2 linked regions of the Kluyveromyces lactis genome follow. The protein of the gene in region 1 interacts with the protein of each later gene in a pairwise test. Links are inferred from orthologs where the notes say so. Each region holds a gene or a part of one and is shown in the gene's direction. Other genes may lie near its edges.

Evidence for each region.
Region 2: the proteins of DNM1 (region 1) and KLLA0_F21406g interact in a two-hybrid assay, tested with the Saccharomyces cerevisiae proteins (9 studies listed by BioGRID). The link is inferred for Kluyveromyces lactis from reciprocal best matches to the Saccharomyces cerevisiae genes DNM1 and MDV1.

Annotation. Positions count from the first base shown.
Region 1 is NC_006042.1:1,182,845-1,195,149, reverse strand, and holds DNM1 (dynamin-related GTPase DNM1), read left to right. Parts: upstream 1-5,296; coding exon 5,297-7,624; downstream 7,625-12,305. Other genes in the region: SFI1 (Sfi1p), read left to right, coding at 1-2,269; PRE3 (proteasome core particle subunit beta 1), read left to right, coding at 2,560-2,624, 2,729-3,311; H3 histone acetyltransferase RTT109, read left to right, coding at 3,638-4,930; septin CDC10, read right to left, coding at 9,906-10,919; MRPL32 (mitochondrial 54S ribosomal protein bL32m), read left to right, coding at 11,463-12,020. UniProt on the Saccharomyces cerevisiae protein: Microtubule-associated force-producing protein that participates mitochondrial fission. Fission of mitochondria occurs in many cell types and constitutes an important step in mitochondria morphology, which is balanced between fusion and fission.
Region 2 is NC_006042.1:1,994,174-2,003,441, reverse strand, and holds KLLA0_F21406g (WD repeat MDV1/CAF4 family protein), read left to right. Parts: upstream 1-5,064; coding exon 5,065-7,182; downstream 7,183-9,268. Other genes in the region: KLLA0_F21560g (homoserine O-acetyltransferase family protein), read right to left, coding at 1-891; KAE1 (tRNA N6-adenosine threonylcarbamoyltransferase), read left to right, coding at 2,308-3,465; SPC34 (Spc34p), read left to right, coding at 3,811-4,638; chaperonin-containing T-complex subunit CCT7, read left to right, coding at 8,128-9,268. UniProt on the Saccharomyces cerevisiae protein: Involved in mitochondrial fission. Has a partially redundant function to CAF4 in acting as an adapter protein, binding to FIS1 on the mitochondrial outer membrane and recruiting the dynamin-like GTPase DNM1 to form mitochondrial fission complexes.

The DNA of each region.
Region 1 (12,305 bases):
TTTGAACTACAACCTTTCAGAGCTTGAAGAGATATGGAATAAGTGCGTAAAGAAAAAATTCTTTCAACGATGGGTCCAAACATCTGATATCAAATGCCGGGAATGGGTAAAAAACGGAGACGAAGTATACAACCAGAGACTCAAGACAGGTTTTTTTGATGCATGGCTTGATAGGATCCATCAAATAGATACAAAATCGCAGATTGCTGATAACTTTTTCTTGGATAATACCTTTGCAAACATAAAAGCGAAACACGAGAGGTTAACGCAATGCTTCAACAGAACGAAAAATGTCAATCAAAAGCATCTCCTTCAGAAATCGTTCAAGTTGTGGAAGCTAAAAATGTGTGAAGGTCATTATAATCCAACGACAATGAAACGATACTTACTTTGCAAAGGCTTCACAGAATGGAAAAAGAAGTATGCACATGAAATATACCTAAGAGAACTCGCGACTTTCTCAGAACGAAACTTTCATCTAAGTCCGTTTTTGAATAAATGGATCTCGCAATATCAAAAGAAAGAGGCATACGAGCTGAAACTCATAGAAAAAAGTAATATATTCATCAAACGAAGGTTTTTTGAAATGATTTTACTAGCAGATAAATTGGTTAATGTCGAGTCGAAGGTACAAGAGTGCAACACTGAATCTCTGCAACGATATGTTTTATATGTATGGCAAAAACGCTTCGAAGAAAGAACTAATAGTCATGATTACGTCGTTCAACAGAACACAAAGATTGTGCGCTTTTACTTTTCTCAATGGAAACTAAAATCGGAAAGTTACGCAACAGCGAATTCTCATTACACCTCACTTTTGAAGAAAAAATTCATCCATTCCATCACATTGAAATGCAGAGCAGCCCAATTCAACTCTTCAATAAAAGAAGCCAAATACTCGAAAGCTTTGAAACTTTGGCGTAAGAAATTTGAGCTGAACGCCCTTGCTCAGGAATTTGATTCTTTAATCCTTAAGAGATATTACAATGTTGTTAAAAATAAACAGCATTCTCTGAAAGATCTTGGGAATCTTTCAGCTCGATGTTATGATAATGATATCAGTAAGAGGCATTTTATGGTTTGGATTAATCGTTATAAACTATTGCTTTCATCACAAAGGAAAGCAGAAGTTTTCATGAAGCTGCGCTTTATTACCATTATCAAGCGTTCAATTAACGATACTCGTATGAAAACTCGTTTGTCGATTGAACTCTCTAAAGGTAACAGTAAAATGCTCGTTGAAAATTTGTGGAAAGTTTGGAAGACCCGGCTGGAATCTAAAAGGCTACTTAATCTTGAAATGTTGCTGGACAAGTTTGAAGATAGAAGATCTTTACAATTTAACCAAAAATTCCTTTCAGCATGGATGAAACGCTCTCGCTTCTACACAGTTGAATGTGCATCTATCGCAGAACAGAGCTCCGATATGAGTTCTCTGAAGAATACTATGCTCCAATGGACAACGAAATATTCCAACATAAAATTAATGCATACAGAGGCTGCCGAAATTCATGACAGCATATCTGTTTCCAATGCTTTTGATTCTATTCTTAGAAAGCTTGAGGCACTTCAAATTCAGGACTCTAGGTTGTCCATGTATGTCGAAGAAAAGCAGGTTAAGTTGTTACTGAAATGGACCAACAAGTGGAGCGTTAAGGTGTTAAAACTTAAGCGTAATGAAGAATCAGTTGCCATGTTTAGAGTGAGATGGAACAGAGCTAACCTTCGAGCTATTATGAGTTTATGGAAGGAGAAAGCGTTTTCAATCGTAAATTATTCGTCTGGTAACGAACTAGCTAGCTATTCTCCCCAAAATGATGAGTTGACATTTCAAACTCCCATGAAATCACCTAATAATGCTGCGGTAACGATACCTGGCTCCACAAGAGTTAAAAGAAATAAAATGGATAGAATAAGGAATAGGTTTAGTAGGGCCCGGGGAGCAATACCAAGCCCAATCAAGACAACAAATGTGCTGGATAGCACTGTAAAGGCGAGATTAAGTGATCAGCGAAACACAGCTGCAAAGGACACTACAGGCGCACAGGCTACATATCTATTGAGTGTGAATAAAAGGTTAGCGGGAAAAACAAGAAACATCAGCTTCAACAAAATTCCAGAAACAAGCCTTTTCGGATTTCCATCGCCTCAGCCATTTGAAGGACCAGATCCAGATAAATTAAAAGTTGATCTCGACTTCTTGGAAGGCGATTCTCTGCCCGAACGTGACGATTCTCCAACTAGAAGAAGATCCAGACCGATTCAATGAGTCTAGTCTGATCCACACTTGCGTCCCATCGTAAGGTTCTACTTGCATCAAAGCCGGTTATGTAGCTAAGTACATTCTCAGTTTGTATTTGTATTATTATCATTATTCTGTTACCCGGCTATGTTGATAATGCCAAAATATTAAGGAATAACTGAATCTTTTGGCGGGTGGCAAACCTTTGACAGAAAGATACAACATTGAAGGAATGCAACCGCCTAAAAGACGATATTCACAGGATTGAGTATCATCAGTGAGCAACTGTATCAAATCATTCCCAAATATAATCGAAAATGGATGGAATTCAAGTTGATATGAACCGCTTGAAAAAGGGCGAAGTGAGTCTAGGTACTTCAATGTATGTATCAATAAGGGAACGTTAAGATTCCTCTTTCCCACAATCGAATCAATCGGTTTTAATGATATCAGTGAATACTAACTAAACTTAATTAATGTTAACAGTATGGCCGTGACTTTCAAAGATGGTGTGATCTTAGGGGCAGATTCCAGAACAACTACTGGTGCGTATATTGCCAACCGTGTCACAGATAAACTAACAAAGGTTCATGATAAAATCTGGTGTTGTAGGTCAGGTTCAGCAGCAGACACTCAGGCTGTTGCCGATATTGTACAGTACCATCTAGAATTGTACACCTCACAATATGGAGAACCTACAACCAAGGTTGCTGCATCGATCTTCAAGACATTATGTTACGAGAACAAGGATCATCTCACAGCAGGTATTATAGTGGCGGGCTACGATGAAAAAAACAAAGGAGAGGTGTATAGTATACCTCTTGGTGGTTCTGTGCACAAGCAGTCGTACTCAATTGCTGGTTCTGGTTCTGCTTTCATATATGGTTACTGTGACAAGAACTATAAGGAAGATATGACTAAAGAAGAAACAATCGAATTTGTAAAACATTCTCTATCACAAGCCATCAAATGGGATGGTTCATCTGGTGGTGTCATTAGAATGGTTGTCCTTACTGCTGAAGGTGTGGAACGTTTAATTGTGTATCCCGATGAGTATGAAAACCTGTAGATTAGACGATAAAGCGGTCTTAACCCGTCTTCTGTAAGCAAAAGTATATTAGTTTAAAGAATAAAATTGGTATATAAGAAGAATAAATCTGAGAAACCTCGGTTTCCTTATCATCAAGACCAATCTTAAGGGGCGTTCGGTCCTGAGAGGTATTCTGCCTTCGGCTTTCCATTATTGGTAAACTTTCTCAGTAGTTAAGATTATCAGAAAGGCATTATAAAAAAGTACAACGGATCATTAATACACTCTTAGCTATGCAAAAATATAGAAATGAACTTGAATTGTTAATTGATAGAAAAGCCCAGCAGATATTATGATATAGTAGTATGTCCTTAGAATGTTACATTAAAGATGCACTTCCGTTCGGTCATGAGTTCGAAATCATTAATCTCCAGTCAATTCCACGAGAAACCTCGCCAATAACTTTTCCAAAACGCGAAGCTGAAGACGTTAATGGAAAAACGGTGAAGACCATCAAGACACAACATTTCGTCGCATTATGCTTTGAAGAGAAGGTTGTTTTTGCTCTTGAAATTGTTGTTTATTTCAGTTTGAATTCTGCCAATAATGGTCCCGTAGAAAGGCTCTTGTTCGTCTCCAAAGCAGATACAAACGGATATTGCGATCTAAGACTTGACATTGGTCAGATAACTAAGTCAATAATTGCATATATTCTGGCAATTAGTCCAGGACATTATTTGCGGGCGGTAAAACCGCTGATAAGGAAAGCACTGAGCGGTGCAAAGATTATAAAGAGAAGTACATCAGTACAGAGAGCGTTAGAAATATTATCCAACAGACCGTTGGATTCGAAGGGGATAACTTCAAGGGTTAAAATCCCAGACCAAGATTTATACGTTTCATTCCCGGTTCCGACGGAAATTGTCACAAAGGTAAGTCTTTTTACCAGGGCAGAGCCGCAGTATTTGTTTTCAAACTCATCTAAAAACCCAAGGAAACACGTCCTAAGTGGTGACAAATTGCTCAAATGGTGGTTAAAGATTGTAGACCAAATAGTTGTCGAAGATTTCGATAATAAAACAAAGGCAACCTTACAAATACCGGGAGAAGAGAAAAGAGTAATTTCCAACTATTTGAGAAACACAGCATATCAAAATTGGACCGTAGGAGACATTTTCTCTGAAAGTCCGCAAGACATTGCATTATACAGGATACCATTATTCCCTGATGACCCCAAGGGCAGATTCCTTGACCATCTGATCAGTGATGGACGAATTTCTAAAGTCAATGTGTTAACATTCTGGACAGAATTGCAAGCAAGGCAAGAGTTCAGACTGGGATCAACTGTGTCTGTCATTGGAGTGTCAGGAAAATACATCGGCCGTTGCAATGAACCAGAACGGACTGATATAATTATACCAACCTCGAAGAAGAACTTTAAAAATCTGAAGAACTACATAACTGGAGAAGAATATGACACTGAAGAAGGTGCTGAAGAAGCATACATGAACATTCGAGATATTTTTGACATGCATTACTCCACGAAGATGATAAAAGTTATTGGAAACCACCACAAGATCGCTACTACAAAACGGCCTGAAATAAACACTATTAACGTAATAAACACTCTAAGTGTCCATAGGAAACCTAAATCGTAGTGTGACGGTGCTGATATATATATACTACATAATGGATTCAGGACAATTTGCGCGTACATCACAGCGGATCTCTATATTGGAAGTCAATTTTCAGCAGAAATCAAACAGAGAATAAAAATGTAACAAATTAAATCAAATAAAAATAAAAATAAAAATAAAAATAAAAATAAAAATAAATAAATAAATAATAAAAAATACCTATTGCATTGAGAATAATTATTTGAAATTTGATCCAATGAAATGGTTAAATATTGCGTTTGAGTGTATCTTTGATTGGTTAGATATTAGATGCGATCCTGTTAACCTTAAACTAGTCTATTAGAACGGTTAATTAGGTCGGAGTATAGTACACAAGTAACTCTGAAGATGTCAAGTCTAGAAGATTTGATTCCTACGGTGAATAAGCTACAGGATGTTATGTACGATGCAGGCATTGACAGTTTGGATCTACCGGTTTTAGCTGTTATTGGATCGCAATCTTCTGGTAAGTCTTCGATCTTGGAAACGTTGGTCGGGAGAGATTTCTTACCTCGTGGTACTGGTATTGTTACCAGACGTCCTCTAGTTCTTCAGTTGAATAATATTGATCCGAATTCTCCATTGGTTTATAATTATGACAATTCTTCATCTACGTCACTTGAACAGGTTAATGACGAGCCAGATGCCCGCACGGAGAAGGAAATGACCTTGGAAGATCATTTGAGAAAGAATTCAAACTATAAGCCTGAAATAAAGAATGAATGGGGTGAGTTTTTACATATTCCAGGTCGTAGATTCTACGACTTTTCTGAAATTAGAAGGGAAATTGAAAACGAAACTGCTAGGATTGCAGGGAAAGAGAAGGGAATAAGCAGAATTCCAATCAACTTGAAAATATATTCTCCGCATGTTTTGAACTTGACTTTAGTGGATCTACCAGGTATCACTAAGGTTCCGATTGGGGAACAGCCACCGGATATTGAAAGACAAATCGAGAATTTGATCTTGGAATATGTTGCCAAGCCAAACTGTATCATCTTGGCCATCTCCCCTGCTAATGTCGATCTCGTTAATTCAGAATCTTTGAAATTGGCCAGAGAGATAGATCCCCATGGGAAAAGAACTATTGGTGTTATTACTAAATTGGATCTTATGGACCAAGGCACTAATGCTTTGGATATTTTGTCAGGGAAGTTGTATCCTTTGAAGCTAGGATTTGTCGGTGTGGTGAACAGATCCCAGCAAGACATCCAACAAAACAAAAGTGTTGAAGAAGCTTTGAACTCAGAAGAACAATTCTTTGCAAAACATCCTGTTTACAGAACTATTTCAACTAGATGCGGAACCAGATACTTGGCTAAATTATTGAACCAAGTCTTGATGAATCACATTAGAGATAAATTGCCAGATATCAAAGCCAGATTAAATACCCTCATCGGACAAACCGAACAAGAATTGGCTACATATGGTGACGATAAAGTTATCACGAAAGAAAATAGAGCTGGCCTTGTTTTGCAATTGATGAATAAATTTGCTACTAAATTCATTTCTTCCATCGATGGTACTTCCTCGGAAATAAGCACTAAAGAACTTTGTGGTGGTGCCAGAATCTATTACATCTATAACACTCTATTCGGGAAATCTCTAAACTTCATCAACCCTACTTCTAACTTATCAATGACGGACATCAGAACAGCTATAAGAAACTCAACTGGGCCAAGACCTTCATTGTTTGTTCCAGAATTAGCATTCGATCTATTGGTTAAACCACAAATCAGATTACTTCTAGATCCATCTCAACGTTGCGTAGAATTGGTGTATGAAGAATTGATGAAGATATGTCACAACTGTGGCTCTCCTGAGCTAGCAAGATATCCAAAACTACAAAGTAAGCTAGTCGAGGTTGTCAGTGAACTGTTGAGGGAAAGATTGGGACCAACTCGTTCTTACGTCGAAAGTTTGATTGATATTCATAAAGCGTACATTAACACAAATCATCCAAATTTCCCAAGTGCTACAGAGGCCATGGCCGAGATTGTTGAAGCTAGAAAGAACAAAAAGCAAACGGAAAGACTTCAGAAACAGAGGGAATATGAGAAGCAGCTACTGTTAGAGCAACAACAAGCTGAACGTGAAATGAAGAAATCCGATTCAGTAGATGAGACAGAACAAGATTTGAAGCTTGATTCTGATTCCACAGCAACCAGCGAGCACGACTCTGAAGAAGAAAATGATATGAAGCAATCAAAGGATTCCTTCTTGAATTATTTCTTCGGCAAAGAACAAAAGAGTTCCAATACAAAGCTTTCTTCGAGAATTGATTATAACGGCTCTGATAATTCTTATGACATCGAAAATTTGCAAATTCAAGATTTTAAAGACAAGAGCGCAGATGCCCATACCAAATCTGAAGCTGCTACCGAATTTACCGAACGTGAAGAGTTGGAATGTGAATTAATTAGAAGATTGATCGTCTCATACTTTTCCATTGTTAGAGAGATGATCGAAGATCAGGTCCCAAAGGCTGTAATGTGCTTGCTAGTAAACTATTCAAAAGAATCTGTCCAAAATAGACTAGTCACAAAGCTTTACAAAGAGTCACTCTTCGATGAACTCTTGATGGAAGATCAGACTTTAGCACAGGACCGCGAAAAATGCGTCAACCTTTTGGAAACTTATCAAAAAGCATCAGGTATTATCGGAGACATTCTATAGTCCTAGATAGGATCCTAAGTTTTATTTTATTAAGTTCAAAATGTAAATAGAAATGAAGATAATATTTTGTATACAGAAAAAAAAAAACAGTATTGAATATGCAAAGCATTAACGTTTATCCGTGAAGCTAATTTACTGATGTTGGATTATCCAAATGGTCAGAATTTAACCTCAGATGTGGAAGGGATGCTCTTTCTATCATAGAAAACAATATGTACCTTATAAACGCCAGATTCATAGAAACGCCTTTATCAAAAACATCAATATAATCAAGCAGAAAAATATTATTAAATTTCCAAAATATTTCATTAATATTTTTATTTTCGGAACAATAAAACATCTTTAATATTTAAATTTTAGAGTAGTAATCAAAAATATTCTATTTTATAAATAACCTAGAGTTAACAAAAATTAATATATATAATTAAAATATGATAATTATAAAGTTATTTTAAAAATTAAATATAAAAATTATAAGTTTATAAAAATGTATTATTTATTGTCACGTGCATAATAAATAATAAGGCATAAAGTACACTTTATTGTTAGCTAAAGAACAATTCTAAAGCAGTAGAAAGGTACAAGAGGAACACATTGGATTGAGTACCTGACGACTACTAATATCTGTGACTTTGGTGTTGTTTAATTATTCCTTATCTGTTTCATTCACACTTTTATATTTTTTTTATTTTATAATTATTTTATTAAAATTATTCTTTATTTATTATTGATTTAGGACCATTTGTAGTATTATGTTCCATTAATTTGTCGTTCATGAGAAGTATTATCGACATATGTAGCTAGGTCAGTGCGAAAAACCCTAACTAACATAGAACTGGATATTCATGATCAACTAATTTCCGAATCATCTGCTAGCGTGAGGTTTTCTTCGATGTATCATTGAAAATGGTGCTACCTTGATCGGCATAGAAGTATAAGTTAAGTGATTGCGGACAGTAACTGTAAACTGTAAACTGTAAGAATGTTGCGAAGATATCAAGTAACGAACACATACTGAGAGTGTGCGAATGTGTTGGAGTGTAGCCGTAAACAGTTCCGCAACAACCATAAGCCAAAAATCCACCATGGAATGTCCCATTGGCAGCGTTGGTTTTTTTCCTAGGGCGTTGATACTTATCGAAAATTGACGGCTAGAAATGATAGAGCGTTAAAGGAATTCGTTATCGGATCTGTGGACTGTTTGATCTATGCTTTAGTGCAGTGTAATAACTTGCTTTGCCTTCAAGACATTTTACTCGTTATATGAATATTGCAGCGCACAAGAAATTTGTAATTCACTCACTACTAGAATGTGATCAACAGCAAATATTTCGTTAAACCTAGTATGGATTACAAGAGTCATGAATGCATCCTGCAGAATATTTTACTGGAGTTCTTTCCCCAAGGATAGTTGCTAACTCTATTTATTATTTTCAGAGAACATCGATGTGCACTGGAAAGGCTGAATCAGCATCCTAGTTTTAACATTTTCCCAAGTTGTCAAAACTAGTAGATGACCAAAATATCACTTTGTGAAAGGCCCATATCTTTGCATGCCCAAACCAATCATACAAATATTGAAAGCGTATATCGAGTTTTGGACGGTGTCCGATGCTTTATTATTCGTTTTTCCATGCGCAGAAAATACATTGATAGTGAATTTTATATGAAACGCTCTAAGCAGAATAAAGACATTAAGGACTTCCATAAACTCCTGCCAAATGTCTGTAGACTCCATTCTACTCAGAAGTCGTAGAAGAGCACAATAAAAAAAAGATTCCAGAGGATATGACAAAATAGAACATTTTAGTATCTGGAATAAAATTTAAACACTGAATGTCTTCATGTAGACACTAATATGCAGTGATGATACATTGTAGATTACTCTGGAGCTTGTCTACACTAATTTATTCGCATACATCTGCTCAGTACAAAAATGGGAGGACAACAGCACCGTCCAATTTCTTAGACTTTAATTACCAGTTGGTTATACGTGATGTAGTATTATAGTTAACTAATGGGGTTTATAAATCCTAAAAAGAGAATGTGATATATAAAAAAGAGATTAAGAGACGTTTGACAAGTAGAAATAGAGAGACATTACCAATTATCAATAAGATATATGGAAATGAAGCGACATTTTACTAGGGCAGGATTCAAACCAGTGAAGAACACAAAAAAAATAATTGGCACAGCTCTTGCGTACCGGTAAAACGCTACATTTTTTTGAAATAAAGACGCCGTTTCTTCTAGAAGTCTTCCCGGCTCTTTTTTCCACCTATTAACGCAGCATTGTTGTTGATGTCTGAGACATGTGTGCAGAAGTTCTAGCGTTGGCGTTCTCCTTCAAAGCAATCAATTGCTTGGATCTGAAACTTTCGTAGTGGATCAAAGCTGTAGTCTCAATCAAATCTTGCAAGTGTGTCCTGATCAAAAATTCTCTTAAATATACGAACTCACATTGGTTGATGTCTTCGACATTGATGGCACCCCAACGAGTTTTTCTTCCTCTTACTAGTTCACCGTTCACTGTAATCTCCTTTTCAGATCCTACAACGGCAAATGGAATAATAGATCTTATACTTTTATTCAGTTCCACTTCTTCATCGGTCAGATCGTCTAAATCATATGGATAGATTCTGAAATTGTACTTTTTAAATTCTTCTTGTAAGATGTTTCTGAAGTTAGCTCTCTCATTCAACGTCAAAGTATCAGCTTTAGCGATCACCGGGATAACATTAGCGATTTCTGTCAATCTCTTCAAAGCAGCAACGTCAAGTTCTGTTAGACCCTTACCGTTAGGTTGGATGAAATATAACACTGCATGTACTCGAGTGTCTACAATGTGTCTTTCACGTTGAGCAGTCAACTCTTTACGTAAATATTGAGAGTGTTGCTCCTTGATGTACTTGACAATAGGTTCCCAAACTTTGTCGTTATTTATCTGGTCACCAAAACCTGGAGTGTCAATCACGTTCACGTTCAAACGTACACGGTCTTCCAATAAAGAATGTGTTGAAACCTTGATCTCGGTGGTCTTACTAATTGGTTCCTGAGTGATGTCCTTACCAGTAGAAGAATCAACCAAGTGAGATGCAAACAAAGTGTTGATCAAAGTACTCTTACCCAGACCAGAATGTCCAACGACCATAACGTTGAATTGAAATCCTCTCTTCAACAAACGATGTTCAATCTGTGAAGTAATCGAATCAAACCCAACATAAGAAGATGGATTTACCAAAGCCAACCCATCAGAAGAAGAAGTCATACCAGCTGCAGCAGTACTAGATGCCATTGTTTTTGTTTATGCGTGTATTTTACCTTTAATAATTCCTTTCGCGTAGTAGAGATGTATATAAGTCAAATCCAAATGATCAAAGCTTTACGTGTTTTAGTGTTTGGAAGTTAAAATAATGAAAAACCTCTAAGTTATAAAAACAATTAACCGCAATAACAAAAATTCAAACAATGAGTAGCAATTAACCACAGAAACGTCAAAAAAAAGTAATCACAATCTTACTTATTCTAAAGAATACAAGATCTGATTCCTTACTTATATTTTGTTGACACACTTATTTCGTTTCGAGTTCCATTTTTAGTTTTTGTGATTTTTCGTCTTTTTCATCGAAATCGAAAAAGGGACACAGATCATCACCAAATCAGGGTAATGTTGAAAATTCTTTCTTATAATCCAATTCGTCAATACCAATTTGAATTGACGAAGTTCAAACAGAGTTAGACGAGCGACCTAGAGAAACTAGTATCTGTCCCTATCGATTGAACTTATCCTTTCTCCTCTTCATCATAGTATCATACCAGCAGCGAAAATAATTAGAGGATGTCTTTTGGAGCTGTAACGGAATCTTTTAGCAGAGTGTTGCTGGAAACAGCGACATCAATATTGCCTCGTTGGAGCACTCCAGCAGCTGGTACTGCATTGCCACAGAAACTGCTGGAATTGCTTGAAAGAAACCAACGTGAAAAGTCTTCACCTCAAGCGGATTACTTTACGAATAACGGGATCCTTCTAGCTGTGCCCAAGAAGAAAGTGTCGCATCAGAAGAAGAGACAAAAGTTATATGCGCCTGGAGACAAACAGCTGAAAATGATCAACCATTTGAACAAATGCCCTTCATGTGGGCATTACAAGAAGGCACATACGCTATGTATGCATTGTGTGGGTGAAATCCGTCACATCTGGAAGGCTCACACTAACGTTGAACAAGTGGAGCCTATTCAAGAACAAGAGTTGTCTGAATTGGACAAGCGTATCTTGTATCCTGGTAGAAAAGAAACTGAATACACAAAGAAACTGAAGGACAAGGATGCTTATTTGGAGAGACGTATGAAAACTCTGCCAGTGGAGAGATCTGAGAAGAAAGAAGGATCACATTAAACCCTCTTCTCATTGAATCCAGTACAAAATAACACATCGGCGGAAATGACTAAAAAAAAACAACCTTTTATCAAGTTCAATCCCCCCATCACCTTGTATATATATGTCGAATACACGTCCCAGATTTTAGCAGGTTATTTCAGTGTCAGCATTCACCTCCTGTAGTAATAGTTAGATTCATTATCTCATCACAATCAACTCTACATAGAATCAAATCACATACAAAAATTTTCCTAGAGCAGGCTTGATGCCAGGCCTAAAGGCGTGAAAATCAGTCGAGAAAAG
Region 2 (9,268 bases), about 810 kb from region 1:
CGGATGCTCTTCACTTGGATAATAAAATCCTCTTTTCCAATTGGGATCTGCCATTAGTACCTGTCTCTGTGCATGTCTCATTGCTATAGATGATGGATGAGACCTCGCGCATGCTGAGACAGAAACAATTTTTTCCACTGAATCTGGAAATAGTTGACCATAAGCCAAAGATTGCATTCCCCCCATGGAACTTCCAACTGATGCTTTCAATTTGGTAATTCCGAAGCAGTCAATTAACCTCTTCTGAGCTCTGATCATATCCTGAATTGAGAGCATTGGGAACCTCGTTGCATACGGTTTCCCGTCTCCAGGATCTAGAGACGAAGGGCCTGTAGATCCGTAGCACCCTCCTAATACATTTGTACAGATAATGAACCACTTATCAGTGTCTAGGATTGAATTTCCAGGCCCTATGAAGTCTTCCCACCAGCCAGGTTTTTCGTTCGACGATGAGGAATGTGCATGTGACGATGCACTAAGTCCTGTATGTATTAAAATAGCATTAGATTTATCTTCATTTAAAGTGCCCCAGGTCTCATATGCCAACTCAAAATTCGGTAGCACTCCACCGTAGTCTAGAAATATAGGTTGTTTAGATTTGAAAAGCTGAAATCCTGATCTCACTTTCCCGTAAACTGGGTCATTCTTTGAAGATGCGGATGTGGCATCCTCTTCCATAGAGCATGACATCTTGGAGCTTGGTGTGTTAGGATCTGAGTCATCTCCTCTAAGCTTTGCAGTTTTCTTTTCGAGTTTATCTAGGCATGGAAACTGCATCGCAGGATTTGTAGACGTGTTCAATGCTGAGGAATATCTGGTCCAATTAGTTCGCACAGCATTGTGAGCTGCAGGAAACGACTTTTTTGAAGCGAATAGTATTGCCGATGACATTATCAACTCTATTTCCTCACAACTTCAGTTTCGGATTCAGAGAGATTCGATAATTCAGTGACTCGGATGCCGATGTCATCCAGTGTAAAATAATGTAAGAAACACTTCAGTGAAGATAAAACAGATGATAAGGTTGTAATAAGAATAAATTCATTGCTCTACTGTTGAAAGTTACAGTTATTAATAAGAGCTTAATATATACAAGAAGCCACAGAGCTGATCACGTGCTTTTGTGAACGAAAATATTCTCATTTGACACTTTCCACTGGGTTGCAATCAGTGGTAGAAAAGATCAGAAATTAAAAAAAATCTGGGGCGAGCTGGGAATTGAACCCAGGGCCTCTCGCATGCTTTGCAGTAGTTAAACTTCGTTTATCGAAGCTTCGCTAGGCTACTAACCCAAAGCGAGAATCATACCACTAGACCACACGCCCTCGCAATTTTGGCAGAAAACTTTTCTAGGTGTCCACAGAGTCTGTGAATGTCATGTGATCGGCGAATGAAGTCTTGAAGACCTCAGTTGCTAACTGATTTGCATGTTCAGCTCCTTCCTCTAGATTGAGGCTTCATACCTCACAGTGGTGTACGTATTTTAGAAGGTCTTTTATCAAACATTGCTGAAAGTTTATACTATCCCCCAATTAATTGCCCAATGGCAATTAATTCATATATTGAAGAAGTATTTATAACATTCTGTTGTTAATGATAAATATAAAGAGGCTAATGAGATAAAATTAGCTCAGGGAGTTTCACTGTCGTAGTAAAAAGATTTCCGCTGGTTGCAATTAATAAAAGGTATTTTTGCGTTGATTCAAAGGGTGAAATCCATTAATAAATTATCCAAAGATGCACATTGTTAGCACGTGGTTTCGGCTTCCGTACATAAATTAAAGGGAATTCAAGCAACTCAACGAATTAAATAGCTCGCGTGGCGTAATGGCAACGCGTCTGACTTCTAATCAGAAGATTGTGGGTTCGACCCCCACCGTGAGTGCTTTATTTCAAAATCCGCGATAGTTTAATGGTTAGAATTCGCGCTTGTCGCGTGCGAGATCGGGGTTCAATTCCCCGTCGCGGAGATCTTTTTTCATATCGAATCTGAAAATACGTTCTGTACACAATCTTTTCCCCTCAACGAGTGATTGACCAGCTATGACTATGTCTTGCAGTTTGATACACTTTTTCTGTTGTTGCTCCTCTTACTATGCTATCTTTTACTCACAAAATTGGTGTATATGATTTTTTGAAAAATTGGAATCTGAGAAAACCGAAAAGTTGAACTGAGATGAGTTGACTATCTTGATCTGTAATACAACTCCCTGAATATATAGTGTGTCTCACCAGTTCAACGTGTGTTCGTGCGATATTCATTGAAGGTATACCTATTATCGTCAAAAATTCTTTTTTCAGTAAGAGATGGTGAATTTAAACGGCATTCCACCAAGAGGTAAAAGGAACTATTATTTGGCAATTGGTCTTGAAGGATCTGCCAACAAGTTAGGCGTTGGTATTATCAAGCACCCAGTGCTAGAAAAACATGAAGATAGTGACCTTTCGTATGAGTGTGATGTTGAAATATTGGCTAATATTAGAGATACATATGTGACACCGCCAGGAGAAGGGTTTTTACCAAGAGATACTGCAAGACATCATAGGAATTGGGTGGTACGAATCATTAGAAAGGCATTAACGGAGGCCAAGATCGATGATCCCACAAAGATCGATGTGATATGTTTCACTAGAGGACCTGGAATGGGTGCTCCTTTGCATTGTGTGGTTATAGCTGCAAGGACTTTGTCATTGATGTGGGACATACCATTAGTTGGGGTTAACCACTGTGTGGGGCATATCGAGATGGGGAGAGAGATCACAGGAGCTAAAAATCCTGTCGTGCTCTATGTTAGTGGAGGTAACACTCAAGTTATTGCTTACTCCGAGAAAAGATATCGAATCTTTGGTGAAACGTTGGACATCGCCATTGGGAATTGTTTAGACAGATTTGCAAGAACTTTGAAGATACCGAATGCACCATCGCCTGGTTACAACATTGAACAACTGGCTAAACAGTGTAAGAATAAAGAAAAATTAGTGGTATTACCATACACTGTTAAGGGAATGGATCTGTCAATGAGTGGTATTTTGCAATATATTGACACTTTAGCGAAAGACCTATTCAAAAAGAACTTGAAGAATAAATTATTATTTGATTCAAGAACAGGAGAACAGCTTGTGACTGTAGAAGACCTATGTTACTCTTTACAGGAAAATTTATTTGCCATGCTTGTGGAGATTACCGAACGTGCAATGGCCCATGTAAACTCAAACCAAGTGCTAATAGTGGGTGGTGTTGGATGCAACGTTAGGCTTCAAGAGATGATGGCCCAAATGTGTAAAGACAGGTCCAATGGACAAGTACACGCAACTGATGACAGATTCTGTATTGATAATGGTGTGATGATTGCCCAGGCAGGCCTATTAGAGTACAGAACAGGCCACTTTGTTAAGGATCTTTCTGAAACCATTGTCACGCAGAAGTTTAGAACCGATGAGGTTTATATCGCATGGAGAGAATAATAATAGCCAATTCTGATTTTCTTGTTTATTTATCATCATATATAGAATAAAGTAAGCAATAGTTCTCGCTTAGCTTACCCCGATGTAAAGGCCGCATGAGCCTTAAAAGTCTTCTGTCAACCTTTTCCATTAACATAATGCCAACTCTTTTCACGTAAAGATTTCGTAAACACCGAAAACAAAAAAACTAAAATGTAAACATAATCGAGTTAAAAGATAAATGAATCATTTGGAGTATTTCAAGAAATTACATAGTATTGGATGAAATATTGTATTCCATAGCAGTTTCCTGAAAGAGGGTGGTGCCTAATCTGTACGTGTAGTGTTTTTTAACAACATCAAAGGATGTCTGGATCATTAGATTACTGCCTGGATCAGATATCAAAATCCGCGGAGTCAATATCGACCTTATATTTCAAACCGCCAGGCATCTTTAGAAATGCGATTGTACCAGGCAACAGCAAAGTGTACTCAGATCTTATAGTAAAGCTTATAAGAGATGGCGATTCAATTGAAGAAATGTCATTATACAGTACAGATAACGATGGAAATATGAAGCGTAAGGATGGGAAAGTAGGGATATACGATCATCTCTTGGAGAGGGAAGCAACTTTGAAACGGAACAGAGCACTATGTTTACCAGATCCAAGACCTATTACCTACATACCGAAGGGGTTTTATCTCAGTCAAAACGATCATGTCATCCGAAAGAAACAGAAACCTGCAAGAGATTTTATCTTCGAAGGAAGTAACAGCGATGAGCTGGGAATCTACGACGTGCTATTGAAAAAATTCAGCAAGGACGAACAAATCAAGCAATTTCTTCATGCATTGCGGAATGGAAGTGTGATAACTGGCGAGGATGTATCAAGAAGGAAAACTCTTTTCGTAGAAGATTTCCCAATCTCGATTATATTATCTGTGTTCCGGGAAATTATAGATCAATGGCCTCTCACTGAATACAAGGAGAAATTTGAAAAACTAATGCAAATATACAATGGATTACAAGCTGATATTAATGAACTTCAGAAGAAAGTAGAGATCCAGGAGTTAGACTTCCAACACGAAGCGTTACCGGAAAAAACGTCAATATCATCTCTCATCGATAAAGAGGAGAAAGAAATACAGAAGCTCGAGAAACAGTTGGACCTTTTGGAAGGGAGAAATAAGTGAAATCTAGCAGCGGTACTAAAAATCCATTTGATACATTAATAAGTTATATCCAAGAAAAACCGATATGCTTGCCGAAATGAAGTGGAAAGATATATTTCACACTTCGGGAATTAATCTCGCACTGGAATGGAAATATTCATGTAAGTTTCAGTTCAGTATATATCATTTTTGTATTATTAAGGTTCTAATTTTATGATAACGAAATATATCGTAGTTCCATTTCTACGGCATCTTGCTCTTCTACAGAGAATACGGTTTTCGTTCTTTCATATGATTTTATTGCTGCAATGAAAGTTCTAATTTCAGAGTACAAAAAAGTAGATACATGGAAACAAAGAGTTGTTAGTTCCTATTACAACTTCAAATCTTAAAGAAACATATGTTGCGAGCAAAAGCCTCGATAAGAGTGTTAGTGGTGCCAGAACTATGAGTTCTAATACGGGAGACCAGTTTGCCAATCTGGGAAAGGCACTGTCTACCACGGCGTCTGTTCTATTCTCGTCGCAGCCGATGGAAGACACAATTCTTTCATACAGTAGTCCATATAAGAAATTGCTTCATGAGACAATTACTAATGCAGGTGGGGGATCATCACTAGTTAAAGTACGCCACGACGTGAAATTATCTAAAGGCAAGAATACAGGTTTCCAAGATATATATTCCAATAGCAAAGAGTTCTTTAAAAACTCTTATAGTGATCCAAAAACAACATTCAAAGTTTTAAGTTACTTGAGTGATGATCTACTTGAAGACGCCCCACGAGACACTATACCTCAGAACAAGAACATGATAACAGAAAATGGCGAGAAAAGATCTGCAAAGTCAAAAAAGCAAGAACCGACGTTATTTCAAGGATTTGAAGCATCTTTACCTGTTATTAATGAAACGATAGAACTACAGCAAAAACTTATAATGAATAGCGATATGAAACCCTTAACAGACTCTGAGTCCATCCCAGTTTACGCTGAAGAAGAAGAACAAGAGGAAGAGTTTAGTTTGCCAGACCATTTAAAAGCTGATAAACTTCTGCATTCTTACTCCGCATCCTTCTTGAAGGATGCCTCGAGGTCAATCACCGATAACCTGGATTTACTTGAAATCCAGAAAAATCTAGCAGCTAGCGAAATAAGAGAGCTAGATATCAAGCTGGAAAAGTTAAAAATGATGCGTGAACTAGTATTCAAGCGAGTGGCTAAAATTGAGCAGCATGAATTGTTTTTGGAGAAGCATTTGAACAACGTTAAGGATAGAATCGATATGATTATAGAGTACAACATGGATAAAGAATACTCATCGGAGGATGAAGAAAATATAAATGGATTATCTGAACTTTCGCCTAAAACTGGAGAAACTAACGAAACATATGAAACTGCGGCTACCACTCCTTTAGAAAACAAAGAAGAAGAGCACTCTCCATTGCTTTCCAAATCCATCTATCAGCAGCTACAAGACCACGAGAAGAAATCGGATATTTCCGAAAGGAAGAAACATAGTACTTCCAAAAAAATTAAAGATGTTGGTGTTTCTCACCGTAATCGCCGCCGTAAAACTTATCCAACTTTACAACAGTTCTATGATTCCGGATCTAAGATTACAAGCCTTCCTAAGGCCCATGATGAAGATATCACTTGCCTAGATTTTGATATGCCATTTGGTACTATGTGCTCTGCTGGCAGTCTAGATCACTCGGTAAAAGTATGGGATTTAAGTAAAAAAAAACAAATTGCTACATTGCATGGACACTTAGCATCTATCAGTTGCATGCAAATTGATCAATATAGCACCCTGATTACTGGTGGTCGGGACGCAGTTCTGAAATTGTGGGATATCGATAAGGCCATGGCTGATGAAGCGTCAAATTCATCTGAAGATAATGATGCATGTTTATATACCTTTGATTCTCATGTTGATGAAATCACCGCAATAAGTTTTGACGGTGACAATTTGGTTTCTGGTTCTCAGGATAGGACAGTACGTCAATGGGATCTGAATAGTGGTAAGTGCACCCAAACCATAGATATATCTTTCGCAACTGGCCCTATGCGGTCTCAAAGAAACATCCCTCTTCGTAATAGTGTACTTCTAACCAAGGAACCGCCGGCTATTGGAGCTTTACAATGCTTCGATGCTGCCTTGGCGACAGGTACTAAAGATGGTATCGTAAGGCTTTGGGATTTAAGATCCGGGAAAGTAGTACGTATGTTAGAAGGTCATACTGACGCCATCACCTCCCTTCAGTTCGACTCGGTCAATCTAGTTACAGGTGCAATGGACAGAAGTATAAGAATATGGGACTTAAGAACTGGTATACTTTCTGACGTATTTGCATATGAGCAACCGATCACTTCTCTACATTTCGATCTGGATAAGATTGTAATTTCAAACAATGAGCCTACTGTGAAAATTTACAACAGGAAAGACGGTAACCACTGGTTCTGCGGCGAAGATGATCCTGAACAAGGTAACGTGGATTTTGTTAGATACAAACACGGATATTTGGTAGAAGGGCGCTCGAATGGTGACATCAACACCTGGGCAATTTAGACCTACAAAATTGTTTCAGCTGAAATGAGAGTTATGACATTTGCCGTCATCTGGCACATTACTTCAAAAATAATAAATATTCTTCACTATTCCCCATAAATTAAATAGAAAAATAATTAGCATACAATGTAGGTGATCACTTGTATATAACTCACTAGTATAAAAAGACCATCCTCATAATACCTTGCTAGTTATTTTCGCGTGCAGTAGAATGTTTCTAGCTACAAGCCACTAACAAGACATGCTTCCAAGCCAAAAAAATCTAAGATTTAACAAAAAAGAAATGGTTGCGAAGAGATTCGAACTCTTGCATCTTACGATACCTGAGTGTTCCCAACTGTAAGGTTGGTTAAGATAGGTATCTTGAATCAGGCGCCTTAGACCGCTCGGCCACACAACCAATTTCGTGATTATTAGTTGAGAATGTCCACACTATAATGTAGATACCGTCTCATAAAGAGATTATATTAGAATAATCACTTGCAATATATGGCTTTACAACGGTATACAAATTATTCAAGATGTTAAAGACGTCCATGTTCATGCAAAACAGCATCTCGAAGTTGCTACGCGCATGTTTCAGCGTTCAACGACGTTTCAGAGAGGAAAAAAAAGCGTTAACCGCCGCCGTCACTAAATATACCGGTGCAACTCAAATATTATCTTCTGTAGAGACCGTCTTACTCTCTGTTGTTTCTATATAAAGTGGACCTGGTTGTCACCAATTACTAAGACGCACTCTAGTTTGGCCCTCTTTTTGTTTCGTTTGTTTTCCAATATTACTGTTGCCTGTTACTTTTATATGAAATTTCAACGAAATCGAATTTAATAAAAAATTAATTACTACTCTGTTTTTAAATCAAACACAGCGAGAAATTGTTACGATATTCGTTCATCGGGTGGCAAAACAGAGCTATTGCACCAGCAACCAAGGAGCTATTGAGAATGAACTTTGGCAATCAAACACCTACTATTGTTGTCCTTAAGGAGGGAACCGATTCCTCCCAGGGTAGAGGCCAAATCATCTCTAACATCAATGCCTGTTTGGCAATTCAAGATACGTTGAAACCAACTTTGGGTCCGTTAGGTTCTGATATATTGATTGTGACATCTAACGGTAAGACGACTATCTCCAACGATGGTGCTACAATTCTTAAATTATTAGACGTTGTTCATCCAGCAGCGAAGACACTAGTTGACATTTCCAGAGCTCAGGATGCTGAAGTTGGTGATGGTACCACAAGTGTGACCATTTTAGCTGGTGAATTGATGAAGGAAGCAAAGCCTTTCTTAGAAGAAGGAATCTCTTCTCATATTATCATGAAGGGTTACAGAAAGGCAGTAGAACTGGCTGTAGCTAAAATCAATGAAATTGCGGTTGATATTTCCAATGAAAACAATTCAAGAGATTTGCTAGAACGTTGTGCTAGAACCGCGATGTCCTCTAAGTTAATCAATAATAACGCTGATTTCTTTGTGAAGATGTGTGTGGATGCAGTGTTAACATTAGATCAAGAAGATCTTGATGATAAATTGATTGGTATCAAAAAGATTTCTGGTGGGGCTATGGAAGATTCTTTATTCGTTGACGGTGTCGCCTTCCAAAAGACTTTCTCGTACGCTGGGTTCGAACAACAACCAAAGACTTTCAAGAATCCTAAGATCCTTTCTCTAAACGTTGAATTAGAACTAAAGGCAGAAAAAGATAATGCAGAAGTGAGAGTTGAACATGTCGAAGATTACCAAGCTATCGTTGATGCTGAATGGCAAATCATTTTGGATAAGTTACAACAAATTGAAGACACAGGTGCCAACATCATTTTATCTAAATTACCAATTGGTGACTTGGCCACTCAATATTTTGCTGATAGGAACATCTTCTGTGCCGGTAGAGTCGCAACTGAAGATATGAACCGTGTTATCCAGGCTGTCGGAGGCTCTGTGCAATCTACCACTTCTGACATAAAACCAGAACATCTAGGAACTTGTGAACTGTTTGAAGAAGTGCAAATTGGTTCTGAACGTTACAACCTTTTCAAAGGATGTCCACAAGCTAAAACCTGTACGTTGCTACTTAGAGGTGGTG